Linked DNA regions of Notamacropus eugenii. The protein of the gene in region 3 purifies or fractionates together with the protein of the main gene of each other region. This does not show direct contact. Links are inferred from orthologs where the notes say so. Each region holds a gene or a part of one and is shown on either strand. Other genes may lie near its edges.

Evidence for each region.
Region 1: the proteins of RIOK1 (region 3) and CLNS1A purify together in Homo sapiens (affinity purification with mass spectrometry; 3 studies listed by BioGRID and IntAct, with this or other methods). This does not show direct contact. The link is inferred for Notamacropus eugenii from reciprocal best matches to the Homo sapiens genes RIOK1 and CLNS1A.
Region 2: the proteins of RIOK1 (region 3) and COPRS purify together in Homo sapiens (affinity purification with mass spectrometry; 3 studies listed by BioGRID and IntAct, with this or other methods). This does not show direct contact. The link is inferred for Notamacropus eugenii from reciprocal best matches to the Homo sapiens genes RIOK1 and COPRS.

The regions. Positions count from the first base shown.
Region 1 is NC_092876.1:125,810,874-125,821,610, forward strand, and holds the start of CLNS1A (methylosome subunit pICln), read left to right. Parts: upstream 1-5,615; 5' UTR 5,616-5,921; coding exon 5,922-6,046; intron 6,047-10,737. UniProt on the Homo sapiens protein: Involved in both the assembly of spliceosomal snRNPs and the methylation of Sm proteins.
Region 2 is NC_092873.1:311,903,667-311,914,445, forward strand, and holds the start of COPRS (coordinator of PRMT5 and differentiation stimulator), read left to right. Parts: upstream 1-6,751; 5' UTR 6,752-6,844; coding exon 6,845-7,006; intron 7,007-8,884; coding exon 8,885-8,966; intron 8,967-10,530; coding exon 10,531-10,737; intron 10,738-10,779. Other genes in the region: UTP6 (U3 small nucleolar RNA-associated protein 6 homolog), read left to right, coding at 95-204, 695-761, 1,406-1,478, 2,391-2,548. UniProt on the Homo sapiens protein: Histone-binding protein required for histone H4 methyltransferase activity of PRMT5.
Region 3 is NC_092875.1:177,886,963-177,897,269, reverse strand, and holds the start of RIOK1 (serine/threonine-protein kinase RIO1), read right to left. Parts: upstream 4,590-10,307; 5' UTR 4,415-4,589; coding exon 4,344-4,414; intron 2,967-4,343; coding exon 2,765-2,966; intron 1-2,764. Other genes in the region: CAGE1 (cancer-associated gene 1 protein), read left to right, coding at 5,245-5,266. UniProt on the Homo sapiens protein: Involved in the final steps of cytoplasmic maturation of the 40S ribosomal subunit. Involved in processing of 18S-E pre-rRNA to the mature 18S rRNA. Required for the recycling of NOB1 and PNO1 from the late 40S precursor.

The DNA.
Region 1 (10,737 bases), on a different chromosome or scaffold from region 3:
TACACCACTAAGGTAAGTGAATTTATCCACAGTATTCAAAACTTCTCTATTTGTTGTAACCAATGGTTTCATGTATGGATGGTGTGGTGGTGGCTGGAGTACCTGTGTTTTGTTGGTGTTAATTATTAGGCCAAAATGAGCACAAGCAGCAGAGAATTGATCCATACTTTGCTGCATCTCAGCTTCAGAGGCTGCATTGAGTGCACAATCATCTACAAACAGGAAATCATGCACCAACATTCCCTCTACTTTGGTCTTGGCTTGTAGCCTTTTCAAATTGAAGAACTTACCATCAGTACAGTAGTTGACCTTGATGCTATATTCATCCTCACTGAAAGCATTTGACAACATGGCTGAAAACATCATGCTAGAAAGCACGGGAGCAAGCACACAGCCGTGTTTCACTCCATTGGTGACTGGAAAGGCATGAGAGATAATGAGTCCATTATCCAGAACCCGGGCAAACATGCCATCATGAAATTGTTGAATGTGGAAGAACTTCTCTGGGCAACCAAATTTTGACATAATTTTCCATAAGCCCTGACAACTAATCGTGTCAAAGGCCTTGGTCAGATCTACAAACGTTGTATGCAGACCTCTGTTCTGCTCCTGGCATTTCTCCTGGAGTTGTTGGGCAGCAAACACCGTTATCCACTGTTCCTCAGCCCTTTCTGAAGATGAATGAGTACATACATACATATATGTAAATGAGTGGTAGTTATGTTTCTAATACTACTTTGAAAGAATATCCAGGTAGCAGCCCCTAGTTAAACTGAATTCCCAGGTGCTCAGCTTTTGTTGCCAATATTTACTGTAGCTATACAAAGACAATAAAATCCTTAGAAATCCTGAGTTAATCTTTCCATTAAATTCCTAGGAAGTAGGAGTCATTCAACAGTGTGATAGTCTGGAGCTGTGATAGGGCTGGAGCCAAGAGACATGGGTTTGAATTCTAGATCTGATACTTTTAATAGTTGTAAATCATCCATAGCGTACTATGACCTTGAGCCTCAGTGCTTTCTCCTATAAAATAGCGATAATAGTACTTACTCCTTGCGTGACTAGGGTTATCATGAGGAGAGTGCTTTATAAACCATAAAATACTAAATCAACTTAAGTTGTTATCATACAAAATGTTTTAACTCTGAATTCTCCAGAACCTAGCACAGTATATTCCCCATATCTCAGATTTAGAAGGGACTCTGGGAGTCAGTCAATAAACTAGCATTAATTAAACACCAATTATATGCCAGGCATTATACTAAGAACTGGGGATACAAAGAAAGGCAAAAGACAGTTCCTACTCTCAAGGAGTTCACATGGGGGAGACAACATGCAAACAAGTCTCAACAAACAAAATACACACACACACACACACACACACACACACACACACACACATAAATGGGCAGCTAGGTGGCGAAGTAGGCTAGAGTGCTGGGCCTGAAGTCAGGAAGACCCATCTTCATGGGTTCAAATCTGGCCTCAGACACTTATGCTGGGTAAGTCACTTAACCCCTGTTTGCCTCAGTTTCCTCATCTGTAAAATGAGCTGAAGAAAATGGCAAAGCACTCCAGTATTTTTGCCAAGAAAACCCCAAATGGCGTCAAGAAGAGGCAGACACAACTGAAAAAAACAACCAAATGACAACAATTCATGGTCATTGTCTAATTCAATAGTGAACTATGTCCAGTATTTTGGACTGATATTAGAGGGAGTCTCCAGACTGCAGTGTCTGATTGGAGTCTTTGAGCATAATGTGGCCATTGTTAGTTTGAATTCAATGGGTATTTCAGTGGAGATATTTTTAAAATGATTTATTGTACTTTTAGCATCTGCCAGGAAACATAAATATTCAGCCAAATAGGAAAGAAGATTAAATTGTACATGGAACTGTAAACTTCTACTATGGGGTATTTTAAAAGTGTTAATATTATCTTTCACAGAGTGGTAACAAAATTGTTCTATTTGTTTCTATGTCCCCTTTTATTTTCCGGTCAATAAAACCCTTAGGGTACTTTCCAAGTAGTAGTCCTAGGGATTAAGTGAAGGGTTAAAGGATATGAACAGTTTTGTAGCCCATATTGTATACTTCTTTGTTGCTTTTCAAATAGATTGTAGCAATTCACAGTTTCACTCCTGGTTATATTGATCCTATTTTGCCTAATCACTTGAGTATTACATTTTTATCATTTTTAACAATCACTGCTTAATTGATGGATAGAATCAATCAGGTAGAATCAATCTCAGAGCTGCTTTAAATTGCATTTCTCTAATAATTCATTACTGCAGAATTTAAATACACATTACTTTTACTGTCTTCCATTTTCAAAGACTGATGGAAAGTTCTTCGTGTTACCAAAATGATCATTCAGAGTTCACCACTTTTTTCCATATTGCACATACACATGGAGGCTTAGTTCATTGATATGTGGCTGTAGGTCACTACTCTGCTGCTTCTCATCCTTGCAGCATGCCTGAGTTTTTTTGTTCAACAAAACCAGTCCAATTCAGATGGCCAGGATTGCGGTCAGGAATGTGGCAGAAGGGATCTTTCACTGAAGAGGGCAGAGGGAAAGCAGAGGGAGAAGAAGGAAAACCATTTTATCAGAGACGGAGACCTGGAAGGGATCTATCTTAGAGGCCATCACATCCAACCCTCTCATTTTACAGAGAAGGAACTTGAGGCCCAGACAGATGAAGTAATTTGCCCAAAATCACACAAACAGTAAATGGTAGAGCCAAGCTTTGAACCATGTCCTCTGATTCCAAATCCAGCTTTTTTCCCCACTCTACAATTCTAGGAAAAAGAGGTGGTTGGATCTGATAATCACTAAGGCTTCTTCTAGCCCTGAAATTTTGATTTGATAAGCCAAGTTTACCAACATGGCATGTCATCTCCTGTGGCTTAGTGCATCCTAAAAGCATTTCTTCTACCACCTCCATCACCCCAACATCTCCTTCCTCCCTTTATGATTTTCCCAATTGAACTCTCCATATGACATTTTCAACAATGATGTTTGAATTAAAACATTCCCATATGAGGATTAATTGAAGGGAATATTTAGCCTAAAGAAGAGAAATCAGGGATTGTATTCAGGAATTAGAAAAGCTATCAAGTGAAAAAGGAATTAGCCTTATTCTACTGTACTCTAGAGAGCAAAAACTAGGATCAGTAGATTAAAAATAGATGGATAGGACCAATAGATAGAAATAGAAGAAATATAGATTTCAGCTCATTATAGAGAAGAACTTCTAAGTAAAAAGAACTCTGAAAATGGATTGAAATGCATTAGAGCTATTAGAGATGTTCTAGAAATTTCTGCTTGAACACTCATCAGGCTTGGCACAGGACCACTGACTGGAGAGTTGGACTAATCCAATCCATCAATCAACATTTATTAAGTACCTACTATGCCAGTTGCTTCGATAATAACTGGAGATACAAAAAGAGGCAAAGGACAGTTCCCTTAAGGAACTCATAATAGACGTTGCAAATAGTAACTAGCAAACAAATATACACAAACAAACTGTACACACACACACACACACACACACACACACACACACTAAACAAGAAGTAATTAGCAAGGGGAAAGATACTGGAATTAAGAAGGGTTAGGGAAGGCTTCCTGTAGGAGGTGAGATTTTAGTTGGGAGAAGCCAAGGAGGTCAGTTGTCAGAGCCAGAGGGAGAGTGTTCTAGACATGGGGGACAGCCCTGGAGAATGCCCAGAGTCAAGAGATGGCCAGTGCCAGGGAAGGAAGACTGTGTGGCAGGGAGAAGGTTAAAGAAAACTGGAAAGGTAAAAGGCAGCTAGTTTATAAATGGCTTTGAATGCCAAATAGAGCATTTTGTATTTGCTGCTGGAGGCACGAGGGAGCCACTGGAGTTTACTGAGTAGTGAGGGAAGATGACATTGCTGGACCCACACTTACAGAATATCACTTTGGTGACTGAATGGAGGACAGATTGGAGAGGAGAGACTTGAGGCTGGCAGACCCCATCGGCAGGCTACTGCAGTAATGATCCAATTGCAAAGTGATGAAGACCTGCACCATGGTGGTGGTAATGTCAGAAGAGAGAAGGGGACATATTTGAGAGATGCTGGAACATGGAAATCAACAGGCCTTGGCAACAGGTCAGATAAAGGGAGTGAAAGAAAGTGAAGAGTCCAGGATGACTCCTAGGTTATGAACCTGAGGGACTGGGAACTCTACAATAACAGGAGGATAACAGGAGGGGAGGGTTTAGGGCCAAAGAGAATGAGTTCCATCTTGGAAGTGTTAAATTTAAAATATCCAATTGTATCAAGCTAGAGATAATTGAAAGGCAATTGGAAAGGGGAGATTAGAGGTCAGCAGAGATTATGGTGGGATAGACAGATTTGAAAGTCATGAATATAGAGATAGTAATGAAATGCATGGGAGTTGATAAATCACCAAGTAAAGCGGTATAGAAGAGAAAAGGGCCCAGGACAGAAGTCTGTGGGACCACTTTGCTATCTAATGGTCCTTCTAAATCTGAGACTTGGTTATTGGGGAATTTTCTTGACCTCTTGGGAGCCTACCCATCAAGGGTTGGTAACTGAGCCAAAGATAAGAGGACTTGCTGAAAACATTCCAATAACAGCAAATCAGCTTTCTGGTGTGGACTTGGCTTGTTTAGCCTTTCACAGCCATGGCCAATGGCAATGGCATTTCAGCTTGTGAGACCGGTGGCAATTGAGCATAGATAGAGAAGTAAAACATTTCTCTGTAAACAGAGAAATGAGTCAAGGGAGAAAAGGGGAATATTTGGAATGCCAGTGGCAGGCTTTATACATTCCAGTTCCAGGGCAGGAGACAAAGGGAAGAGCCCCAATACTTCTACTGTGGTGAAAACAGCCCTTTAAACAAAACGGCCGGCTTTCTTCATCCTAAGACAGCAAGTATGGGTTACCACAGCGGTTAAAGCCCACCTGCCGCAGGCTTTCCGGTGCCCTGGCTTGGGGGCTGGAGACTGCGATGTTGGGCACTGCTCAGATGCCACCGAGACGTCCTGAAGTGACTGTGGTTCCTGTTTCTCCCCCTACAACGGTTCGTTCAGAACACTTAAAATATCTTGTTGGTAGACAGCGGCCAAGAAGCGGGTACGCAAAAGACGGCGAGCTTCTCCAGCCGCAGCGAGGCCCACGCGGGTCCTGGCCCCACGACGCAATCCTGTTGCCCTTCCGAGTATCCTCTCCTGGCATCTCAGAAGCGGGCTTCGCTCCGGAGCCCTTGGTCAGGAGATCAAACGGCCGTCCAACCGGGCACCCACAGCGCAGGAGCTTCCTGGGGGCACTGCCCATCCGGGGCCCGGGCACCAACTGGCCCATGCCCAACACCTGCCCTCCGGGGCATGCCCAGCACGCCCCAGGTCGTGCTTCACCGATCGTGGGGGACACACGTTTCCAGCGACCACCATCCGGACCGGTCGCCCCACCCGCAGAGAGGTTCCCCCTCCCGGGCCTCGCCACGCCAGGGCCACGCTGCCTCGGGCGGAGCTAGGTCAACGCCCTCCCCTTCCAGGGGCTCATTCTACACCTGGGGAAACTGAGGCTCGGACAGGAGAGAGCAAGCGAGTGGCCCAGAAAACACCGCGAGTCCAGGAAAGAGCCCGGATTGGAAACCACGTGTCCCGCCCCCAAGACCAGAATGGGTGGGAGGGAGGGAGGCGGGCCGGTCTTCCAAGACCAGCGACCACTCTTCCTAGAAAGGCTCTGACTACTCCAGAGCGGAGGCGGTGGGCGGGGCTTAGCCGTCCTAGTCCTTCCGGGGTGGCCAGCCTCGCCCGGCCCCTTTCCTTCCGGGTTCGGGGCGAGCGTGTCTCCTTCGCCTGCGGTCCAGCCCCCCTCCCTGGTCCGCGGGCGGACACCGCCACCGCCGCCGCTGACAGAATGAGTTTCCTGAAGAGTTTTCCGCCGCCCAGCCCAGAAGATGGGCTTCGGCAGCAGCAGCCCGACACCGAAGCGGTGCTGGACGGCAAGGGCCTGGGCACCGGCACCCTCTACATCGCCGAGAGGTAGTGGCGCCGGCTTGAGGGGATGAGCGCGGGCGCGGCGGACCTTAGCGCTCGCCTAACTCCCGCCCCGTGCGTGGGCGCGCTCTCGTAGCCGGGGGCGGGGGGCGGGGGAGGAGACGGGATGCACGCATGCGCGCGTGTGCAGGTGTCCGGCGGCGGAGCCTCCTCGTGGGCGTCCCGGGCGGGCCGGGGGCGGTTGTGGCCGCGCTCGGAGTTCTTTGCCCCTGGGCGGGGCGCGGCGCGGGGCTCCGCTGGGGCGCAGACCCACTTTATCCCGCGTGTTTGCCCCTGGGGGGCGCGCCCCCTCCCCCATCGGCCCGCGACCGCTCGAGAGGGGGCCTGGCCGGCTCTTCCTCTTTGTGTCCCCGGCGCTTGGCGCAGGGCCCGGCGCGCAGTAGGGGGGCAATGAGTATTTGCTGACTGACCCGTAGACCCGCCGCCCGCACCGACGGAGGACCGGCCCTTGAGGGAGCTCGGCGTGGGGCTCCGTTTGCCCCTCCCGCCCACGGAGCCCTTCGCGACCTCTTCTCGAGGGCGTGGTTAAATTGGGGAAGTAAAGCCGCCTGTGGCCGTGCCTTCGGCCGCGAGCTAACACCTGTTTACCAGCCAGCCGTCTGTGCGGGAGAAATCCGCAGTAATGCCCCTGCCTTGGGGGAACTGGGGAAGGCTCTTTGGAAAAGGGAGGAGAAATCCCTCCAGCCCAAAAAGTAAAGTTCTGTCGTTCAGAAACGGAGCTGCTGCGGACTGAGAGCCGCGAGTGTGCGGAGGAAATGGGAGCGTGGGGCTACGGGGGAGCCAGAATCCCTGACCCGTGCTGAGATAGCCCCTGTCCCCTGGCGGGGAGATCCCAAAGCCGGCAGCTGTCCCTCCCTCTTAAAGGTGCTGGGGAAGAGTGCCCTCATGGTGAGTAAGCACAGTGCCAGGTGCTGGGCACCTGGAGAAGGAAGCTGAGGTGGGCCGAAGTTAAGTGACACCCCCGGCCCGGGCCTTGTAGCCGCCTCCAAGGTGTGCCCTTCGGCACGTGGTGCTGTAATGGGGGCTTCAACCAGGAAACATCCATTGAAAGCCTTTGCCTAACGAGTATCGCTCATTCCAGATACGTCTCTCGCCCAACTTGAGCCCTTTCCCCTCTGCCTTTCCTCCATTCATTTTCCACTTTGACTGTCCTCCTTTGGCCTTCTCCACCATCCCTTACCCCCTCCCCCACCTCCCCTTCAGCTTTCTTTTATATGTTGTCTTCCCTCTTCAGATTTCTAAGTTCCTTTAGGCAGGGACTGTTTATCACATTTGTATTCCTTGTACTAGCACAATTCTTGGCACATAGTGAGTAACGCATAATTATTGACTGACTTACTGAATTCTGCCATCCTTCCTTCTTACTGCTCCCAGATGAACCTTTCTGCCAAGTAAAGTTCATTCTCTTGCTTGTCTTTGAAGATTCTTAAAATCTGGTAGCACCCTATCTTTCCAACCTTATCCTGTTACACTGCAGCTCTGTGTTTTCCTGCCATTCTGAGGTTCTCTGTGCCTGAAGTATTCTTCCCTCCTCTTCACCTCTGATTTTCTGCTCATCTTTTCAGGCCAACTCAAAATTCTTGCTTCTTCAAGAAATCATCTCTGAGTCTCCCGAATCAAAAACAACATCTTTCCATACAGTACTGTTTTTATGCTTGGATAATTCACTTGGGTATTTTATAAGATAGTTTATCTATACATACGCTTTATCGTTAGATGTTAAGCTTTATGAGGGCATAGGGGAAAGATTATGAGTTTAATTTGGGACATGTTGAATTTAAGGTGTCTGCTGGACCTTCAGTTGGCAGTGTCTGAAAGGTAGTTGGAGATGGGAGACTAGATGTCTGCAGAGAGATTAGCTCTGGACAAGTAGACCTGAAAGTCATCTGCATAGAGGTGATTGAAACCGTAGGAGTTGTCCGTTGTAACTTGGAAGCTGCTAAATCTTGTATGATCCTAACCTGTGGCTCCACAATATTTGTTTCTTTCTGGCTTCTTGCAATAGTTCCTATTTGACCTGGAAGCTTTGGAATTTGGCAGTGATATTCCTGGGAGTTTTCATTTTGGGATCTCTTTCAGGAGGTGATTGGTGGATTCTTTCAATTTCTGTTTTACCCTCTGGTTCTAGAACATCAGGACGCTTTTCCTTGATAATTTCTTAAAATATGATGTGTAGACTCTTTTTGTTCATGGCTTTCAGGTAGTCCAATAATTCCTAAATTATCTCTCATTCTTTTTCTGAGGTCAATAATTTTTCCAATGAGATAGTTCAATTTTATTTCTTTTATTGTTTTTACTCTTTTGACTTTGTTTTATTGCTTCTTGAAGTCTCATGAGATTGTTAGCTTCCACTTGCACAATTCCAATTTTTAAGGAATTATTTTCCTCACTGAGCTTTTGTACCTCCTTTTCCATTTGTCCTATTCTGCTTTTTAAGGAGTTCTTTTATTCATTGAATTTTTATGCCTCTTTTACCATTAGGCCAATTTAGATTTTTTAAGGTGTTATTTTCTTTAGTGTTTTTTTTGGGGGGGGGGGGGCGGCTTCTTTTACCAAGCTGCTTATTTTCTTCATAATTTTTTACATCACTTTCATTTCTTTTCCCAATTATTCCTCTATCATTTTCTTTAACTCTTCAAGGAATTCTTGCTAGCCTTGGGTCCAATTAGCAGTTTTCCTTGTAGCTTTGCTTATGCCTATTTTCACGTTGTTGTCTTCTAAGTTTATGTCTTGGTCTTCCCTGTCACCATAATAGCTGTTTATGATCAGGTACTTTTGTTGTTGCTTGTTCATTTCCCAGCCTATTTCTTCTATTTGAATTTTATGTTAAAGTTGGGTTCTGCTCACCTCAGAGTAGGGAGGTGTTTTGCCAAGCTTCAGGCTTTTTCATGCTTCTGTTTTCAGAGCTAGTTCTAGAGACTTCTTAGTGCTACTAAGGTCGTGTTATTCTGGAAGAGGTATGTCATTGCTCTCCTGGTCTGCACTCTGATTTTTAAGGAGGAAGGGCTCCTGTTCTCCTGAAGCCACAAGTACTAATGCCCCCTTGTGGCCTACCACATGTACTTTTCTCTTCTCCGGAACTGGAACCCAGAACTGCTTGTAGGCAATACAGTTGCCAATCAGTGCTAGCTGCACCCACTGCCAGCAGAAGGTCCCCTGTCATTTCTTTCTGACCAGTTGTCCTATCCTCTTACTGTTTTGGGGCCAAGAGCTGAAGCTGCTGCTGCTACTGTTGCAGCTGCCTTCAAGGCACAGTATTGGCTAGTGCTCCTTCTATGCTCCAGGCTTGTGTCCACCCTGGTGTTACTGAACTCTTCTCCTCACCTCCTTAGTAGTCTCAGACTGCAAAAAATGTCTCCTTCTGACCTTTTGTTGGCTCTGCCACTACAAAATTTGATTTGAGGAGTTCTGGTTCCTGGCCTGTTCTCTGTCATATTAGAAAAATCTAGGGAAAGAATTCTTGAATAAAGGATAGCAATCAAAAAAGAGAAAATAGCCAGTTTTATCAACATAAAATATAAAGACTTTTGCTTGAATAAAATCTGAAGACAGAAGTGAAAAGGTAGGGTGGGAAAACAGTTGCATCAGATATTCTGGTATTCAAAATAGAGAGGTTATAAACATAAATATAGTAAACCAATAGCTATTTTCCAAAGGTCGAAGGAAATGAACTAATTTACAAAAGGTTTGCAAATTTTTGACCACATGAGAACATGATCAGAATCGCTAATAGTAGGAAATACACATGATATGCTTTCAAGTTGGATGATCCAAAGACATCTCAATTTCAGCATGTCCAAAATTAAACCCTCCACCCTTCCAAACTTCCCATTTTCTGTCAAAGGCATCGTTGTCCTTAGGGATTCAAGTTTGTAATCTTGTCATGATCTTTAACTCCTCTCCTTCACCTCACACAGTCATTTGACAAATCTTGCCTTTTCTACTTCCACAGCATGGATTGTAATTGATGACCCTTCCTCCACTTCCAGAGCTGCCACCTTAGATCAAGCCCTCATCACCTTTTCCAACTATCTGTGTGTGTGTCCAAGATTTGATTAACTCCTATGGCTTCCTATTGCCTCTAGGAAAAAAAATATCAACTCTATTTAGCTTATACAGCCCTTTGTGATACAGATTGAAATACTGGTTTCTGCTTTCTTTTTTTTGTTCAGTTTTTCTTATACAAAATGACTAATATGGAAATGTCTTATATGATTACACATGTATAACTGCTTATCTCAGGGAAGGGGAAAAGGGGAGAAAAGGAAGGGATAGAATTTGGAATTCAAAACATAAAAAAACATTAAAAATTGTTTGTACATGTAATTGGGGGAAAAAAATAAAATTTTTTTTTTGAAAAGCCCTTCATAGTCTGGCTCATTCGTATTTTTAGACCTGTTAGACATTACTGCCCAACCATTATCTTATCTCTGGGTATCCCACATGCCTACCAAGCTGGTCCTCCTTACCTCTACCTCATAGTTCCTTGCTTCCTTTAAGACATAGCTCAAGCAACATTTTTTGCTTTAAGTCTTACTTAAGAGTTTAATAAATGCTTATTGTTGATCTGCCAGTGCCCTCCTTATATTTACTTTGTATATATTTATATTTGTTTAATATTTATATATAATTACCTCCCATATTAGAATGTACGTGCTTTATAAGTAAGAATTGTT
Region 2 (10,779 bases), on a different chromosome or scaffold from region 3:
TGAAGCCTCTAGCTCTCCACTGGGTTGGCTTTGGGGTGATATTTCTGTGAAATTTTCCTTATGTAGATTGTTTCTGGTTTCTTCCACATGCCAGAAATCTCTCCTTGCTACTGTCCCTGCTGATTCCGTGATCATGAAAGAGAAATACCTTGATTGGGCTTATCGGACTGGTGGCCACAAGAAGGCAAAAAGAGTCTTTATGAGGTTTGACAACTCTCCCTGCAGGTGTCCCATGTGGCCTGTCCTGTCACTCTCTTGGCCTTTCTCCTCTTGGCCGAACTTTGCAATTCTCTATCACATCTGCTCTTGAAAGAGATGACTTGTGACCTTTTGGGCCTCATTATGCAGTCTTTGGTACAGACAGATACATGCAGTTGTGAGTGAGAGACTAGACTTTATGTAAAATTCTGCTTAAATAACAGAAACCCCAAAACAACAACTCTAGGTCCAAAATGAGTAATTTGAAAATTGGTTCTTGAAACAGAAATGAGGGATACAAGAAAGATGGGCTGGGGGTGGGGAAATGGAGTTATCAGTCATTTAAAACACTGGTGGTCAGTGCTGGTGCTGACTGGGCCTGAGCCCTGAACTTATCTAGACATCCTGGCTGCTACCCGGGTGCATGGGCTGTGTTCACTATAGGTTCTTCCACAGTGATGGGCACGTGGGAGAAATAAACATTTCTTTTCTGTAGTTTACGTGAAAACCGCCCATTTTCAGTTCAGTTCTTCAGGAGGATGATCCAGATTGAAAAGGAGCAGGTATGTGAGTGTGGGGGCATTGTCACTGTGTCCTAGTTTTTTTGAGAAGCCTCCAGCTAATTGGGGGTGGGGAAGAGGGAGAGGGAGAGTAAGAGTGAGAAAGAGGCTTAACAAATGTGGGTCCCTGGAGTCCCCTGGCCTTGCCCCTCTATAGTGCTGACCATTTAGTAGGTGTGACCAGCAAAAGAGAAGAATCAGAAGCTAAAATACATAGGAGAAAAATACGGGAGTCAGGATCTGGCTTTAGGAGAACAACATCTATGAAAAAATGTCTATAAATTAAGTGACCTCCGTTTACATTATAGACATTTCCCAGGTGAATTTAAAATGTAATTGGATTTGCATGCAAAAGCACCAAGGTGTTATTAGGATCGCTGCTGGGAAAGCAGCCTCTTTCTACCTGCACATGGAAAACAACCCTGGAGCTGAGAGAGCGAAGGACAGGATTCTGTTATATGAAGGCATAGGTAATGATATGGATCAGCTTCTCTTGAGAATATGACGGAAGGAAACAAGTTGAAGATGAAGTAATTGGGATTTAGGAGATTTGGCCAAAAGAATGAGCTTCTTTTCTGATGCTGAGTCAGGCCCCTGCTGGAGGATTGTTCTGTTTCATGAGCTCTCCTGTCTACTTGTTTTGTTAGGAAACCTGCAAGATGTTGAACTTAAGAGAATACTATGAGAGAGCCTTGAGAGAGTTTGGTTCTGTGAATTCCGGTAAGGAACCTTTTCTTTGTTGGAAGTGTGTGTGTGGAGATGGAGGTGGGGTGACTGACTCTCTTGTAAACATATTTTTAGAGTCTGGGTCTTATCTGTGGAGAGGGGTAAATTTGTACTTAATTTTTTCTGTATCCTGGGTCCCTTGGGCCATCAGTCTAGTGAAGCCTCTGAGCCCCTTCTCAGTCACATTTTTAAAAAAATCCCTAAACTACATAAGGACTTTTTAAAGGAAACTGATTATAACAAAGTGCTGTTACCAGAGTACACATTGTGTTGTGTTTGTCCTTCATTCTCAAAGAGGACCATGACATCAAGATGATGACATGATTTGCAGTTGACTTTGATTTGAGTGAGGGAGGGCTGTGCAAGGTCACCAACTTCACTTTCTTCTGAGCCATCTGGGTCTAGTGGCCTGATATTCATCAGGACGGCTGGAGATGGCCCAGGATGCAAGGTGAGACCCTGGCCCTTTCAGGTGAAGGTCTTATCACATTCTGACTTTGAGTGAGATACACCCATTCAACAAATAGGCTTCTTTAGGTAGTTACTCCAGGGATGGCCCCTTTAATGAAAAAAAAAAATCAAACTGGGAGGGGAAGACCCTCAGGGTTCCAGGGTAAAAGAGAAACAATTACTACTTAGTAATTACGTTGACTCTGTGCTAGGTGGGTGTGGACTTGTCCAGTCTATGAGCTCCAGAGTGAATTGGGTTAAAGCTTTATCTTCAGAATACACATATATAAAAATGAAGACCCTTAACCTAAGAGCATCATTTTTTGAGTGACCTGAGCTCTTCTGGCCTCCAGAACTCTTGGGTCTGGTGAAGGCCAGTGGCCTGCTCTTTGCTGGGACAGCATGCCTGGGGGGTGGGGTGCATACACTGGTGTGACTGATTTTTCTTCTTTTAAGACCTGTGGTTGGATTACATCAAGGAAGAGTTGAACCACCCTTCTGGCAAACCAGAGAACTGTGGGCAGATCCATTGGAGAGCCATGAAGATGCTGAAGGGAGAGCTGGTGGAGGAGTTTGTGGCCAAATACACTTTACTGCAGATTGGCCAGTTGTAGGAAGAGTAAACAGCTGGACTTGTGAACTCTTTTTATAAACCCTTGTGGTAGATCGACATTGCGGGTGGATCTACCATTTGTACAGAGATTTTTGCCTTTGATTCCCAGTAAATACTGAACTCTGCTCTCTGACTCCTAACTAAGAGACTTGCTCCTTCTTGGATTTCCATTTGACGGCTTTATCTGGAGGAGAGAATTTAGTGAAAGACTGTTGTCCATCCAGAACAGAAACAAACGTCTACTCTCCCATTGACCTTTTCCAGAACTGACAAAACCTGAACATCAATCATTCTTCTTTCCTGAGTGGAGGGAATAAGTTTTTGTCCTCGTCTTCTTGGTCCTGTCCCTTCTGGGTTTTGTTTGTTTATATTTTGAAAGGCAACAAGAACATTTCTTTTCTGAAAAACTCCCAAAGTGTATTTGAGCTCATGAAGTTTAATAGAGGGAGAAGACACACTCTTGGCAGTCCTATCTTTTGAAAATACTTAACAAAATATTACAGACCTAGAAGAAGACAGTTTTAGGGCAGGGGGTCCTCATGCTTAGCAAACTGCATTATATTAACCACTTGTGTTACATAGTCACAAGCCAATGAAATGCCAGTCCTGAAGAATCAAGATTGGAAATTACTTAAAGAACAGCAAAGAATACTTTATGGGCATAAATAGGATACAATTTGTTATCAAGGACAAATTGTACACATGGAATGTTGCAAAAAATTTTGGAATTGTAGGATGGGAAAAAGTGGTGATGTTGAAGTTTGGAGCTGGGCTTAAAGAGGGGAGCCTGAGGTTTAGAGCCCATAACTGGGAAGATGGTGGTGGGAGGGACATTTACCATGGAGAAGAGAAGGCTTGGAGGAGTAGTGAGGGGGATGAAATGTGATAACAGTCTTCAAGTATTTGGGAGGCCATCCTGGGGAAGATATATCAGACTTGTTCTGCCTGGCCTCAGAGGGCAGAACTAAGTTATGTTTGGAAGTTAGAGAAGGCAGATTTTGACTCTTAAAGAAAATTTTCTTAGAGATTCTAGGGCTGTGTAATCTTGGCATGGACAGGAAGTAGTGAGCTCTCCTTTATCATGGGTCTTCAGTCCCAATTAGGTAACCAGTTGTTAGAAATGTTGGAGAGGTAATTTTTGCTTCAAGTTGAGAGTTATACTAGATTACATTTAAAAGTCCAACTCTGATTCTGAAATGGGGAAGTTGTGAGGAAGGGGACATTTTGGGAATCTTAAAAAAGTCTGTGAGATACTCAGGTAGACATTTGCAAATACAAGATTCAAACTCCAGGGAGAGATTTGGGTTCAATACATAGATTTGGAAATCATGGACACAGGTGATAATGCTGTGGTAGTGGATGGCAGTGTGGAAAGGTGAGATGAGTCACAGTTAACTAAAAGCACAAGCCCCTCATGTCTGGTGCAAAGGACTTCAATACTCCATCTGAGAGAATTGGGTCTGAACTGTACTGTATGGGGTGATTCCTATCACTTAGCCCCCATCTTGTGGGTCTAGTAGCAGCTGAAGATCACAGTTTATAGGCCAGGTCAGAATGGGAAGTAGAGCACAGGGAGGAACATCCTCTGATGATTTTTATTGGTTGGGCTACCCAGCCTACGCTGTAGGATACAGGGTTAGTGGGGAAGGTATGGGGTTAAGGAGGAAAGGGGTTGGTGAACTCCTGAAGAAGGTCCTAATGAGACTTCTGGAGGAATTAATTATCAGAGGTGAATACAGAGTATAATTATGGGATCATACAGAAATATTACAATTTTTGGAAGCTACAGGGCTCCTTGCCTCCAGTTCCTTCCCTTTAGAGGCACTAGGTAAAAGCACATCTGATTGTCACACCCCTTCCTGCTGCTTCTAGGAGAAAACGTGTTTGTCCTTCATTCTCAAAGAGGACCATGACATCAGGATGATGACATGACTTGCACTTGACTTTGATTTGAATGAGGGAGGGCTGTGCAAGGTCACCAGCTTCACTTTCTCCTCCAGAACCATCTGGGTCCAGTGACCAGATATTCATCAGAATGCAATGTGAGACCCTGGCCATTTTAGGCTAAGGTTTTATCACATTCTCACTTTGAGTGAGATACACCCATTCAATGAATGGGCTTCTCTAAATAGTTACAAAATCAAACTGGGAGGGGAAGATTCTCAGGGTTCCTGGGTAAAAGACACGGTTACTATTTACATATACTCTGTGCTAGGTAGGCAGGGACCTGTTGTCCAGTCTTTGAGCTCCAGAGTGAATTGGGCTCAAGGCTTGGTCTTTGAGCAAGAAATCTAGCCAGTAAACCCAAAGGAAAAAAGGCAGCTTCTGGCAGTTACTTTTTTCTGGGTAGAGCACCCCGGGGAACGTCAGAGAGGAGAGGAGAGGATTAAATAGTAACTGTTTCTCTTTTACCCAGGAACGCTGAGGGTCTTCCCCTCCCAGTTTGATTTTTTTGTTGTTGTTATTAAAGGGGCCATCCCTTAAGTAATTACTTAGAGAAGCCTATTCATTGAATGGGTGTATGTCACTCAAAATGAGAATCTAAGACCTTAGCCGAAAATGGTCAGGGTCCCACGTTGCATCCTGGGTAATCTCCAGTTGTCCTTATGAATATCTGGTCCCTGGATCCAGGTGGTTCTGGTGGAGAAAGAGGCTGGTGACCTTGCATAGTCCTGCCTCCCTCAAATCAAAGTCAACTGCAAGTCATGTCATCATCTTGACGTCATGGTCCTCTTTGAGAATGAAGGATAAACACAACCTTTGAGTAGCAGTTCCTCTCTTCTCTGCCCTTGCCTGGGGTGCTCTACCCAGGGGGAAGTACACTTCCATGACCAAAAGTTACCTTTTTTCCTTTTGGTTAACTGGCTAGATTTCCTGCCCAAAGACCAAACCTTAAACCCAATTAACTCTGGAGCTCGAAGATTGTACAACAGGTTCCTGCCCACCTAGCACAGAATGAATGTAAATACTAAATAGGAGAAAACACCAAGTAGCTTTGAAAGCTCATCATCCCTTGGCCCCGTTGGATGATCCTCTTCCACTTGCCCCATGCTCATCTGGGCGTCTGACCCTCCTTGGGCCTCTCTGGATCAGCCATTTGAACCCCTCAGCATTGACCTTTGCCCCTGAAGTTACTGCCTTTGCCTCTGCCCCAAGAGGCCCAGCATTCTCCCTCCCCCATTTCCCTAGTGCTGCATATAACTGCTTGGTATGTTACGTATTTTATATGTGCTTTGCATTTGAAGTGGCCCCCACTGGAATGGAAGCTCGGTAAGAGTCTTCATTGTCACCAGCACCTAGCATAGTGCCTGGTATGTAGCTTTAGATGCTGGTCGGTTATGTGGGTCATCCAGTTCTGCTGCTTCTGCAGGACAGACCATGGCAATTCCCAGTGGGACCCAAGGCCTAAAAAGAGGAGGGGGCTGGACTGGATGGTTTCAAAGGCTCTTTTCATTCTGGGTTTAGGATGAATGAGGCTTTTGCAAATTCTCTCCCTTCTGCCCAAGTCCTCACCTAGGCAGAGGATGAAGGGCAGGGAAGACACGCGTTTGGAGGAGAGCACAAAGCTTCTAGGTTTGGCTCTGCTCGAGGCTCCGCCAATGTCCGTCAATCAGAATTTGCCCCGCACCAGCTGCCGGAGGCTGCCGAAGTCCTGGTCGCGAGGGTGCGGATCTTGGTGGGAGACAGCTTGCTATATCGGAGATGCCAGGTAGTGGGGGAGACGGGAGCTCCTCTAGATGAGCGGGGCTTTGAAGGAAATGGGAGGGCTGAAGGTAGGGGTCAGGAGGGCGTGCCCTCCAGCCCCGGGACTGGAAAGGGTCGAGTGCCCAGTGCAGGTCTGTCTGGCCGGAAGGGGCGATGCACGCGTCTGGAGGAGTGGTCCATGTGCCCCGGGCTGGCGGCAGCCGGCGGGTCCGGGCCGTGTTCCGCCCCCTCGGCGCGTCTTCGAGGCTTCTGGGCTGGACGGCGCCCGAGGCTCCTAGCAGCCCGGCCAGAGGTCGTCCTCTTTGGGGATTGACGAAGCTGGCTCACCCTGACCCCGGCCTCTAGGCCAAGGCCAACCACCTGCTAAGGCTAAGCCCCATCTCGGCTCCTTGGGAGGGGTCACCCGGCCGGGACATCCTCGGGGATTTCCGCCAATGGCCGAGCGCGTCAGACAGACCACGCCCCCGGGTCCACCACGTGACCCAAGCCACGCCCCTGATTGGCGCTCCTTGTTGCCTTTCGGCCGGCAGCATGGGGAGGTCGTCACGTGGGGGCGGTGGCGGCGGCCGTGGCGCCTCGGGGACTGGCGGGCATGGAGCCGCTGGCTGCGGGGGCCGGGGGCGGTGAGGGGCCGACAGCCCCGGAGGGAGAGCCGCCGCCGCGGGGCGCGCGGGCTGGGGAAGAGGAGGAGGCGCCGCCGCCCGAGCCACTGCCGGAGCCGGAGCGGCGGGAGGAGCCGCCCAGCCCAGCGACGGTAAGGCCGGAGCCCCCCGCGCCCACCCGAGACGGGACCGAGGCCGCGGCGCGGGGCCACCACGGTCCCTCCGCGCGGCCCCTCAGGGCCGGGGCGGGAGGCCCACAGCTGGGAGGGAGGGCGGGAGGCCGAGGGCCGCAGACTTGAGCCGTCCCATCCACGGGCCCCTAGCCACCTGCCCCTCCCCCATCCGGCGGGCACCTCCTCCTGCCCTTCCTCCTTAGCCTCTCCCAACTTTTCCCCTGCCCCTCACTTGCCTTCTCCCCCCATCTCTCCTGGGTCTGTTCTTTACCCGCGCTCTCCCCCCGCTTCTAATACAACCTGTGAAGCCCACTCCCGACTAGGTAGTGGCCTTCGGGGACCCTGTGCCCCGGGGGCAGAGGAGGGGGCGGTAAGGAGGCTTCTCCAGTCTTCAGGTGGCATCTACTGTGGGAGAATCGGCCAACCGGCAGGTACTTCGGGTTTTTTAAGTGCCCACTCGTGCCGGGCCCTGTGCTCAGCTGGAGGGGGCTCGCTATCTTGGGGTTCCCCGAGGCTGGTGAGGAGTGAAGGGATGTCAGGCCCGGCGGCACTCCCTGCGCTGCTCTGCTGAGATTCCTCCCAGGAACAGGACTGGGCTGCTGTGCCACGGGTCCTTAGGTAGATCTGAGGAGTCTGTGAACTTGATGGGGAAAGAAATGACATCTTTACTAAAGTGTAATTGGTTTGCTGTGTAATCCTACTTATTTTCTTTTATGCATGTAAAAGCATGATTCTGAGAAGTAGTTCATAGGTTTCACCAGGTTGCCAAAGGCATCCAGGGTGCAAAAAAGATTTAAGAACTCCTGCTTTGAGGAATCTGCCCTTAAAGCAAGCAGCCCACCACGGAATGCCAGGAGTTCTATTTCACTCCTTGAAAGTCTTTGAAAGCATGTACTGGTGGTAGGAAATTATTCAGTCCTAGGTCAGATCCTGACCTCAGGGGGACCCTGCGTGAATACCCTAAGAAACATTAGTCATCTATCTGGTTACCTGCAGATGTTCAGATAGCAAACCTTGGCTTTGTATGCACAACTCCACATTGTGCCTGGCTTAGTAAGTCTTTGGAAAGGCTCCTTAAACGGACTAAGGTCCTCTATACTCGTTCTGTTCTGCCCTAGTGAGAGAAATATCAGTGAATAGGTGGAAACTATACTTCACCCCAAGAAGACAAAAACTCCCCAGATAAGAAGCCAAGATGGTGGTCAGCATGCAGGTTTTGTGCACGTTCTGTCAGGATGAGGAGAGTAAAGGTTCTTTACCTTTCTTATGCCTTTCACCTCTTGGACTGATAAAACTGAAGGACCCTCAGAATCATTGTTGTTAAATGCCTAAAATAAAATATACAGAACTGAAACCAGTTATTGAAATTCAGGGATCAAACTTTTAAAAAACTAGTGCACAGCCCTAGGTTGATAACCTTTATCGTAGAGAAAGGATAAGTGAGGGGTGGGAGGGAGTAGACTGTTGTAGAGTAGATTTTTTTTCATCATTCCATGGCCAGACTGGGCAGGGAGAAGCATGTGCAGAGGCTTGTATCATTAAGAGATGGATGGAATCTCCAGGGGTGTCTAGTCAGATGCCTCCTTTTACAGATGAGGCCCAGAGAGGGGAAGGGATGGCCTGGGACACGTGGGTGCTTATCACTTCTCAGTTTGAGACAGTATCTTGAGGAGCATTGAGACTTTGAGGGGCTGTTCGAATGGAAGGAGAGAACATTTAGATGGGCTTGTTGGGTAATGGTGTGGGAAGAAAGCATGCTGGTTGCCCAAATTACTTTTACAAAAATATTACTGTTAAGTGATGGTTATTTTCTTTCAGCCAAGAAACAAAGTTCCTAATTGTTTTTCCTTTGTTCAGGTCAGCTTGGCTATGTCTGACCACATCTATCAAAAGAAGGAAGGAGATGAGGATGGGGTCATGAGATGGAGACCAAAACTAGGCAAGTAACCATTACTAGGCAGATGTTCAGGGTCAGAAGGTGGGAGTAAGTGATAGAGACAGAGGTGTCCTCAGTCCCCGTGCTATGCTGTGCTGGTTCAGCTTGGCCCTAGAGACCAGAACCAGGGGTAGTGGATGAAAGCTACGAAGAGGCAGATGGAGATTTGTTACCAAGAAACCCTGGCTAACCATGAGCTTCCCAGAAGGGTAGTGGGCTGCTGTCTGGTAACTTTCAAGCTGTAGCTGGATGACCCCTGTCTGGTGTGCTTTGGTGAAAATTTCCCTTTCATTAAGAGTTGGACTAAAAAGTTGCTGCTAAGTGCCATGGAGGTTCCTTCCAACACTTTGTGGTTCCTTGAGAGCACCTTATTCTAGGTTAAGTTCTAAATTAAAGATACTACACCCTGCCTTGGGATCTGGGTTGAGATCCTCAACCTGTGCAGCCTGAGGTGGGTGCCTTGGCATCTCCTGCCTTCTCTTTGTTCCACATCCTGTCTAGTCTGTCTTCTTTTCTGAGCTGTACACCACCTCTTTTGTGGATTATTTCCCCTCAGAGTTGCCTGCCCAAGCTGCATCAGATATCTAGAACTTTCTTATCTGCCCCAGATTTTCTTTCATCATTTAGATGGCTCCTAAAATCCGGCTTTTACCACAAAGCCTTTTTGAATTCAAGTAATACTGATGGTTTCTCCCATCTGCCCATCCTATGTCTCTTGTGGCCAGGATCTTCCGAGGGTCCCTGTTCCCAAACTGTGTCCTAATGTGCTCTCTCTCCCCATGCTAAATGGGGAGATGAGGGGCAGAGAAGTAATGAGATGAGACTACTCAGACTTGAGTGTTCTTTCTTCAAGATACAGTGCTGCCTTTCATATATGTTTATCTGTGCATGCATATGTGTACATTGAGAATCATTGGATTTAGCCCTAAGGAGCGTAGAAATTATCTAGTGGTATCCAATTTATTCAAGTGTGACATCAAAAAATGTAGTAGAACTTTAGATGCTCTTTGGATCCTTTGGGAAAACTAGAGGATAAAAAGTCTCCTATTAATTGAGTAATACTTTTAAACAAATTGATACTAAAACAGCGTCTGTGTAGATTTGAAAAATTAGTAATATTTAAAGGTTTGAGACACTGTTTAATACACAGAAGCATATTTACTTATGTAATAGTGAGCAATGCTAGGGATTTAGATCTTACTTTGAGGGGCTTTCACAAGATACCTTGTCCCCTCAAGGCTCTAATGCAAATGAGAAACTGCTGATTTTGTCTAGCCCCTTTTTTTATAGTTGGGAAACCATTGTTGGTGACTTACATATAGAGATGTGTACACATAAGATTTATTTTTTGGGAAAAAAAAATAAGACTGTCTTCCAAAGCCGAATAGAAATAAATTTGTGTTATCCTAATCATCACTTTCCTCTGTCATTGTTGTTAATTGGGAATTTGCTATCCTTTCCGTTAGGAATTTGCTTTTATTTGAAGAACTCAGAACAACCTGATGGCCATTCTTGTGTTTATCAAACATTTATAGAACTTTTCCTTCTCTCTTTGCCTGCATTGCAGCCTGTGGGGCCCAGAATGTACTCATGCAAGGGGAGAGTGACCATCCTGAAGATGATGAGATGCAGGAGTATGAGGACTCTGAGGAAGACTTGAACTGGGAGCTGGAAGATGGGATGGAGAGCATTATCCCAACAGAGCAGAAGGCTGAGCCTCCTGTTAAGGAGGATTGGGACAATGAGCTGATTGCTGACCAAGGGAATCCGTACGGTAGGTGTGGTGTTCCCTTTGGGCCCTGGAAGAACTGAAACT
Region 3 (10,307 bases):
CTTCCAGATGCCTATGATTGCTCTCTCATGGTTCTCTTTATTATGTGGCTCCTCTGCTGGTTCTTTACCTAAGTCATGCCCACTAATTGCAGATGACCTTCATTCCAAGGCTCAATCACTGGTATGCTTTTTCTTTTTGCTCTGTTACCACCCTTGGTGACGTATCAGCTCTCACATGTTTAACTATCTCTATGCAGATGATTCCTCAATACACATATGTCCAGCTCTAGCCTCTCTCACAAGCTACAGACCCTCATCACTGATTGGATCTTGGACATTTGGAACTTGATGTCCTGTAGTTATCTTAATGTCAACATGGTCAAAAGAGAAAATATTAGCCTTTTCTTCCCTCCCTCCTCAGAAATACCCCTTCCACACTCCCATTACTCTTAAGGGTACCACCATGCTCTCAATTACAACCTTGGTTTCATCTTTGACTCTACTTTTGCATCCCTCTGCAACATAATCTGTTGCCAAATCTGGTCATTTCTACCTTCAAAATCTCTCAAATGTCTCATTCTCTCCACTCACAATTATAACCCTAATTCAGGCGTTCATCTCCTCTCCCATACCTCTGCTATATCTTTTTTAACGCCTCTCTGCTTCAAGTCTCTTCCCACCCCAATCCAGCCTCCATTCAGCTGCCAAGGTGATCCTTCTAGAGCACAGATGTGATCATGCTGATCCCCCTGCTCCATGAGCTCCAATGGCTCCCTATTGCTTACAGGATCCAATAACAAACTCTTTGGCATCTAAAGCCCTTCTTAACCTGCCTTTTTCCTGTACTTTACCCCACTCCACATACTCAATGACTCAGAAACGCTGGCCCACTTGCACTTCCACTCTCATCTCTGTGCCACTGTACTGGCCTCCACCCCCATCCTACCTCACCTCACCTCTTAACTTCCCTGGTTTTTCCTTCAAGACTCAACTCAACTCAAATCTCTTCTTCTGCAAGAGGTCTTTCTCTACCAGATAGATGCTAGTGTCCTACTTAGTCAGACTGCCTCCCATCTACTCTGGACAGATGTTGTATGGACCTAAGTTATTTATAATGTCTTAGTCATTAAAATATAAGCTCTGAGAGCACAGGGACTGCTTTTTCCTTCCTTTGTTTCTCCCCAGTACCCAGAACACAAAAAGCACTTAATAAAAATGAAATGAAACAATGTTCCATACAGGGAAACGTTACATATTATGTAGACTGGTGGGGATATGTCTCAGCCACTGAAATGTGATCTCCTAGAGCAAAGGAACCATTTCACCTTCCTTTGCTTCCTCAATGCTTACACAGTAAGCACTTACTAGGTATCCAATAAAAATTGAAGAAAAGAATATCCTGAAGAGAAAAAAAACATTACATGGAATATATAAATCACAAATAAACAGAAAATAAAGATAAAAAGGAGAGTTTTTTGGCCTGAAATTTCTACAATTAACAAATATAAACACAAACTTATAAACTGTAACCAAAAGTATAATAATAAATCATCCTAGTTAAATACTCAACTCTGCTTGACCCAAGTTATTTTTATAACTGACACTTACATAGCACTTTTAAGATTATTAAAAGCGTGTGTGTGTGTGTATGTGTGGGCACGCATGTTCCTAACAATGTTATAAGGTATGCACTACAGGAATTACTTCCATTTCACAGTTGATAAAACTAAGGTTCAGAGACAGGTTTTGCCTATGGTCACAGAAGCAGCATTCTAACTCAAGTCTCTCTAGATTTCAAGTTCTGACCTCTTTCCATTATACCACAATGCATAGGTAAGATTATTTTTCCCTAGTGTTATAAAAATCTTATTTTTAATTTTTCTTTATACTTTTTTTACGTCTTGATTTCCAAATGTCTCTCCCCAATTACCAAAAGGCCGAATCTTGTCACAAAGAATAAAAGAAAAAAAAGAAAAACATTCAATTATAGTTCTCTACCTCTGCAAATAAGGTGTAGTTTTAGATTATTTGTTAAGTTCTTCTTTTATAGATCCATAAATGTTAGATTTTAATTTACACAAAATAAGTACATGCAGTCCCCTATGGAGGCAGTGTGGTCCAATAGCAAAAACATTGGGTTGGGCTCTCCAACTTCCAATTCCACCTCTAGATTTACTGCTAGTCTTCATCTCCCATACAACTCCCATACAACAAGGAGTCTGGAAGAGATGGGCTCTTGGGTCCCTTCCGGTTCTAGATGTATGACCCAAGGTGCATTATCACCTCACCTTTCAAAAACCAGAATAAAAACTGAACAGTTGAGAAAGGCAGGTATGAAAGCTTGCATATTCTGTCATACACTGTGAATGAGTTGGCTTTGATGAATTGGTTTTTTTCCCATTTTCTTCTTTGTATCAAGGGAAGGCTATATTTGGAAATGAATGAAATGTTAAAAACAAAATATAGAGATAGAGAAAAATGAATTAGCAAGAAGAAAAGATCATTCTAGTTGATCTTTTCTAGGTATTAAGTTCTAAAGCAGAATCTATATTTCAGAGGGTCAGTGAATCTGAATGGGAAAAAAATTACATCTTTATTTTCACTAACCTTTTAGCTGAATTTTATCATTTCCTCCAATTATGACTGTAGGCAACAAAACATTCCAAAAAGGGGCCTACAGACTTCACCTGACTATCAAAGTAGACCATGGCAGAAAAAAAGGTTAGCTGATCTTGTTTTAGAGCAATACAGTAGATATGAAAGCTTGTATTAAAAGCAAACAGGTACATACTAGAAAGATATCAAAAACTCATTTATAAAATACCTGTGGGTTACTGCCTCCAGATGAACAAGAGCCCTTAGTAATTTTCCCAACTTCATCATCCCAGTCCCAATCATCATCATCATCATCATAATCTTCATAATCATCTTCCTGAATTTCTTCATCAACTTCATTCAAAGTCTGGTGAGAATTTTTAGATGTATCTTCCTCCTCTTGGCTTGTTTCCATGCTGGTTGTACTTCCACTAAAAACAGGAATTTTTCAGATGATGTTACATGCGATCTAAGGTAACATGACAAAAATGCCACAGATGTGTGAATCTCAAGTCATTAGGAAATTCAAGGCATTTGTACTTCCATTTAATAATAAGAGACACTTTTACAAAAAGAAATAAAAACTTAATCAAAGTTAATTTTTTAAAATAACTAAACAAACTTCAAAAAATACAAACGGGTGCAGATTAAGATATATATTTAATGGCCAAGAAAGGGATTTATTTTGTTTCACTATGCATATTTATCCCAAGGATTCTGGGATTTTTTCCCCATAGGTAAAACAAAAACAAAGATTTATTGTTAATTGAAAACTTTTTTAAGTGTTGTTTTTAAAAAGGCACAAAATGCTGTATTTTGAGACATCTGGAATCAATGTACACACTACTGTGTTTACGACAACACTGCAATTGTGGACATATTAACAAAATATCACCGTAGCCTTTGAAAATAGCTAAGGCAATGCAAGGATCTAAAACATTTCCAAAGGACCCCTGATACAAAATGTCACCCACATCCAGAGAAAGAACAATGGAGTCAGAACCCAAATTGAAACAGACTATTTTTTCTTTTGTTATGTTTGGTTTTGTTTAGTTTCATTCATGCTTTCTCCCATTCGTTTTAATTCTTTTATGCAATGTGACTAATGCGAAAATGTGTTTAATAAGAATATGTGTATAGAGCCCATATAAGACTGCATGCTGCCTTGGGGAGGGAAGGGGAGAAAATTTAAAACTTACAGAAGTGATTGCGAAAAATTGAAAACAAATAAATGAATAAATTTAGAGGGAAAAGTAAAAAAAAAAAATAGGACAAGGACCACACCAAAAAAAAAAAGTGAAACAATGCCAGAGAACTTATGATGAAATATGCTACTTTACCTCCTGAAAAAGAGGGGATGGACTTTAGGGTACAAAAAAATCAGTAAACATAGACACCCAAAGTCTTCCTACGGTTTTAAAAAGCACCAAGACTTTTGGGTCACGCTGTATCTTTTGGACAAGTCCAAAGCAGAAATTGTTTCGTTTGATTATGCAGATGGCTTTAGCTTGATGTGGAGGAGAGAGGGTCAAGGATGGGGCCAAGTGGACAACGATGTTCGCTCCTCAAAGAAACTGAACTGAAATAAAATCAACTCGGTGAAAGGCTTGGAATGATGGGCTCTGATGACAAAGACACCTCCTGACCCCAAACACTTAAAGGGGGGAGTCTGCAGGACCCTTAGCTCGGAGGGTCTGCGTGCGGCCACGTACTGCGGCCCAAGGCAGGAAGCGGGGCAGAGGAGACGGAGCCCCGGAGCGCAGGGGGATGGGACCCCAGCCCCACGCACGCCGCTCGGGTCCTCTCACCTGTCAGAGGAGTCAGCATCATCGAACTGCCCCGGGACCGCCCGGCTCATGAGCTGCTCCCGGTAGTTCATGGCGGAAGCAGGATGCGCTCGCCCGCCGGGGCTCGATGGGGTGCCGGTGGCACAGGAAGCTGCAGGGGCTCCGGGCGCCCCGGCTCCGAGGATGCTCCCGTCACTCCCCGGGCCCACGTGGTCTCCGGCTCTTCCACGCAAGCCGCGTGCTCCACACGTAGAGCAGAACGGCTGGAATTCACGAAGGTACGGAGAGCCGAAAGGGACAAACAATAAACACGCCCCCTCCCCCCCAAAAAAACCAAGGACTCCGCGAGTTAGCCAACGACAGCACGGATAAACGACTGTTCCTTTAACTTCACCGAACCCCGGAGAAAGTCCTGGCAGACCGGAAGTTGGTAACTGGAGTCACCACGGCAGGAGCAAATAAAGAAGCACGGGTGCAATAGGCCCACATAGACCAGCTCGGCCGTTGGCTCCGCCCCCTTCCCCCGTACAGCTGCAGCCAATCCACGCCCTGAGCTTCTGAAGACACGTGAGGAGAGGGGCGGGGCTAGAGAACGCGTCAGGCGTGTTCTTCGCTCTGGGATTGGCTGATCGCGGGCAAGTTGTCACAACTGTGGAATCTTGGCGCCGCCTGGCTCCCAACAGCCTTTATTTTCCAAAGCCATCTGTGGGAGTAAGAGGTCCCACACCTCTCTTCCCGCACACGGCAGGCCGTGCGGGAGGAACGAAGCACTAGACCCGGGCTGCAGACCCAGGAACGCTCAATGGAGCCCGAAAGTGAGCACATGAGCATTTTTAAAAACTGTTGGGGGGCTCTGGTGACCATCAAAAGAGAAATGTGAAAGAACTTTGAAAAATGAAAAAACATACTCTTAAAGAAAACGATGAATCTTCTAGTGTTTTCCTGTAAGTGCAAAGTCTCCTCTTTAACTCTACCTTAAGAGCAGGAATGTGCTTTGCCTCTCCAGAAAGGGGTGGTGTGCTACCGGTGCGGAATGAGGTATATTACAAGTTATCCCACGTGGCCAATTATATTGGGTTTTTTGGGTTTTTTTAGTTTTACCTCGAAGGACTGATTGGGGTATGAGGGAGAGTTGGGAGGAAAATACCACACATTTATTTTTTTCAAAAGAGCATTAATGTAACAGCTGGATTTTTAAAAGAACAGCTGTGGAGTAAATGGATTCAGGTATATATATGGCTTCTAAAAGAAGTGGGGGCAGTACTGTGTTACTAAAGCCCAGGGATATGATGGGGAGAGGGAAGAAAGCCTAACTTAGGCTCTGGAGTTTGTTTTTTAAGCGTTTTGCCCAGATTGTATAGAGGGGGTCTGGGGGAAGAGGGGTGTAGTTTACTGCACTATGAAGAGTGAACAGATGCAGAGGGTAACTAGAAATTTGAGTCCTCAATCAAAATTGATAGACTACAACACTTTCTTTTTAAAAATTCAGCAAGCTTTGAATGCCAAACTCACATTTATACAGGCTTAAGGGGTATTGAGTGCTTTACATACATTATCTTACCCTTTGCAGTCTAGTTTTGGGCCTCATCTCTGCTGTTCTCTCCGAAATAGCCAGTGTTTATTCTGATGTTCTCTCACTCTCCATTCTCATTGACCTGTCAGATGCATTTGAGTGTGTTGACCCTCTCATATTCCTATATACTCTCTCCTTTCTTAGTTTTCATGTCAATGTTTCCTCCTGGTTCTCCTAGGTGTTACTCATCTGACCTCTTCTCCATTTCCTTTGCTGGATGTCCAAATTCTGAAAAGTGGGTATACCCCTAACTGTGGTAATGTTTGTCCTTGGCCTTTTTTCTCTTTTCTTGCTTAATTGACATCATCAACTCTCATGGGCTTCATTATTGGAGATCTGCTCAGTTCCCATGGATTTAATTACAAGTTCTATGCTGATGATTCTCAAATCTGCCTATCTTGTCCAAATCTCTCTGATATTCTCCAATCTTGCATTTCCAACTGCCTTTTAAGACATCTAAAACTGGATTCCAGTAGATATTTTAAATTCAATATGTCCAAAATGGAACTCATTTTCTTCCCCCTAAACCCTGCCATCCTTGGTTGATCAGTCACATCCAGCTCTTTGTGACTCCATTTGGGGTTTTCTTGGCAAAGATACTGGAGTGGTTTCACCATTTCCTTCTTCAATTCATTTACAGATGAGGGAACTGAGGCTAACCAAGTTAAGTGACTTGCCGAGGGTCATGAAGCTTGTAGGTGTCTGAGGCTAGATTTGAACTTAGACTCATCTTTCTGACTCCAGACCCAGCACTCAGATCTACTGTGCCATTTAGCTGCCCTCCATTCTTCCCTGTTACTATAGAGAGCCACACCTTCTTCCCTATGCCTCAGGCTCACAACTGTTCAAAAGTGGTCACAACTCCAAAAGACTTAAGTCATAACTTATTTTATTGCAGGAACATGCATTCTAGGTCCCTTCTTGTATAGAGTGCAGAGGAAGCCAACAATGCAGGCAAGGCCTTGAATATGTAAGGGTTATGGGATGAGAGAAAGGCAATAATTGCCTCTCAAAGGATAGTGGCATGGGAAGGGAAAGGGAGCAGTAGGATGAGGAAGCAGAAAGGCAGAAGCTCAATCTCCTCCTCCTCCCCATGGAGGAAAGATATTCTGCTTATCCAAAAGGGTCTCAACTACACAGTTTATCACTGTGGGTTATGTTGGTCGGAGCCAGGTTTGTAGCTGACTTAGCTTCAAGGGCACGCTGAGAGTTTAATAAAGTCCAACTGCAAAAAATCACTGTTATGTTAGTTCAGGGGGGCTTCATCTCTGGAAAATAAGGCAACTCAAGAAAACAAGGTCACAGGCCCCTTCACACAACCTAGGAATCACCCTGGATTCCTTACTCTCTCTAACCCTCCACACCCAAGTTTTTGTCAAAGCCTTCACATCTTTTGAATTTGCCTCCCTTCTCTCCTCTGATGCTGCCACCACTCTGGTACAGGCTCTCATCACCTCATGCCTTGATTATTGCAATAGCTTGAAATAATCTTCATGCTTTAAGTTTCTCCCTGCTCCAATCCACTCTCCATTCAGCTACCAAAGTAAAGTTCCTAAAGCTCATGTCTGACCATGTCACCCCATCCCAACTTATTAAACTCCAGGCTTCCTATTACCTCAAGGAACCAATACAAAATGTTCTTTTTTTTGGCATTCAAATACCTTCATAACCTAGTTCCCTCCTACCTTTCCAATCTTCTTACACTTCACTCCACACTGTGTACTCTTTGATCCAATGACATTGGCCTCCTGGCTCCATCTTTTAACTCCAGGTATCTCTCTGGTCATCCCCCATGCCTGGAACACTCTCCCTTCTCTCTTCCAATTCCTGACCTCCCTGATTTCCTTTTAAGACCCAACCAAAATCACATCTCTTACTGGAAACCTCTCCCAGCTACTCTTAATTCCAGCACCTCACCTCTGCTAATTATTTCCTATTTATCCTGTGTCACCTGAAAATAAATAACCAAAGAGCCACAGAAGTTACACACCAAGTGTTAACTCTGAAAATACCAAAGAGCTCATGGAGGTTGTACCTCAACTATTGACGCTGAAAACGTAAGCTCTCAGGCTATGAGCAAAAAGCCTTCTTTATTCCATTGGAAGAGGGAAACTAAACGTGTTCCAGGGCCTCCTCTAAGACTGAGGAGACCCACGGCTTTGAGGCTAAGCCTTGATACATACAGTTGTGGATAGACAAAGAACCAGACAGTGAGGTGTAACCAAAGCAATGAGGCAAATTTGCCTAGTGGCAAAAAAGTTTATGCATAGTAGGGCTTCATGACCACAGTGTGGTTCATGCAGGTGCTTATCTGAGTTCAGGAACCACCTGGGACTGGCTAGATCGAATTCTGTGATTTAACTGCAGCAGAATTCATGCAGAGGATGAGCACAAAGGATTTTTGTTATGCCAAATTCAGAGCACATATTGCGTACTAGGCCTTAGCTCTGGAAAACAAGGTTTCTCCTAATAGTAAGAAAAGAGAGGAGTGGTCTTGCCTTGGAGGTCCTGACACCTGGATATATCTTGTTTTGTGGGGGTTTTTTATGTCATCTCTCCCATTAGATTGTAAGTCCTTGAGGGCAAAGACTATCTTTTGCCTCTTTTCATACCCCCAGTACTTAGCAGTGTCTGGCTGTTGTCTTTCATTCTCAAAGAGGACCAAAATGACATCACCATGATAAAGTCAAGTTTCAATGTGTCCAACTGTGGCTGAACAGACAAATATGAGCTTGGAATGCTCTACCACAGACTGGGCACAAATAGTCTGTGTGAACACCTGAGGGGGATACTCCAAATTTGCACGTCCTACACTTACTTTGTGCTATCTCAATTCTGCTTTGCTCATAGAGCACAGCACTCTTTCTGATGTGGGCACACTATGCTGAGTGGTCCTATGCCAGTGTCTCCCATGTCCCTCAATCAAATTCAAAGTTCTTGAGAGAGACCTTGAGAGTGTCCTTATATGGCTTCTTCTGACCACCGTGTGATCGCCTGCCCCATGCGAGTTCTCCATAAAACAGTCTTTTTGGCAAGTGTATATTTTGCACTCGAACAACATGACCAGCCCATCAGAGTTGTGCTCTCTGAAGCACAGTTTGAATGCTTGGCAGTTTAGCTCAAGCAAGGACATCAGTGTCTGGTATCTTATCCTGTCAGGTGATCTTCAGAATCTTCCTAAGACAGTTCAAATGGAAGCGATTCAGTTTCGTGCCATGGCACTGGTAGACTGTTCATGTTTCACAGGCATACAACAATTAGGTCAGCACAACGGCTCTGTAGACCTTCAGTTTGGTAGTCAGTCTAATACCTCTTCTCTCCCAAACTTTTCTTCGGAGCCTTCCAACCACTGAGCTAGCTCTGGCAATGCTTGCGTCAACCTCATTGTCAAATCCCTGGAAAGTACACTACCAAGGTAAGTGAACTTATCCACAGCATTCAAAACTTCCCTGTTTGTTGTAACCAGTGGTTCCACGTATGAATGATAGTGGCTGATAGAGCACTTGTGTTTTCTTAGTGTTAATTAGTTGGCTAAAATTAGCACAGGCAGCAGAGAATTGATCCATACTTTGTTATATCTCAGCTTCAGAGGCTGCATTGAGTGCACAATCACCTGCAAATATAATTGATTTGATTGACTCCCAAGAGCCATAGATCAAGCCCCAAGTTTTTCTTCTGAGGTCTAGTTTGTCATCACCAATTGGCCTACTAGATATTGCCAAAGAAATGTCCTTTAAGTATCTATCATGTCCTAAAACAAAATTCATTATCTTTGACCTTAAACTCCTTGGTCCACTAAGCTTGCCTGTGATAGGTACTGCCATTTTTCTAGTCGTACAGATTTGTAATGTTGATGTTATCCTCAACTTCTCACTCTGTTTCATCCCACATACCAATCATTTGTCAAGTCTCACCATTTCCATCTCCACCATATCTTTCCCATCTCTTTGTTCTTACACAGACACCACTTTAATTAAAGCTTTCTACCAAATGCCTGAACCTTTGGAATGAAGTCTTAATTTGTCTTCCTGCCCCAAGTCTCTCCCTATACCAATCCATTTTCCATGCAACTTCCAAACTGATTTTTTTAAACATGTTGTTCTCCTCAATAAACTCCCAAAACTCTCTATTTGTTGCCTTTAGAATGAAATATAAATTTCTCTGACATTTAATACTTTTCACAACCTGTCTCCAACTTCTTTTTCCAGACTTATTCCAGACTTATACATTACTTCCCTTCCTGCCCTCCAAGGTACAGCTAAACTGGCCTTCTGTCTGTTCATCACACATGGTACTCAAGACATAACTCAAGCACCACCTTATGCACAAAACCTTTTCTGATTCCTCTGCCCCATCAACTTCTATCGCCCTGCCTACCTACCTTGTATTTAACCAACTTGTTTTTATTTTGT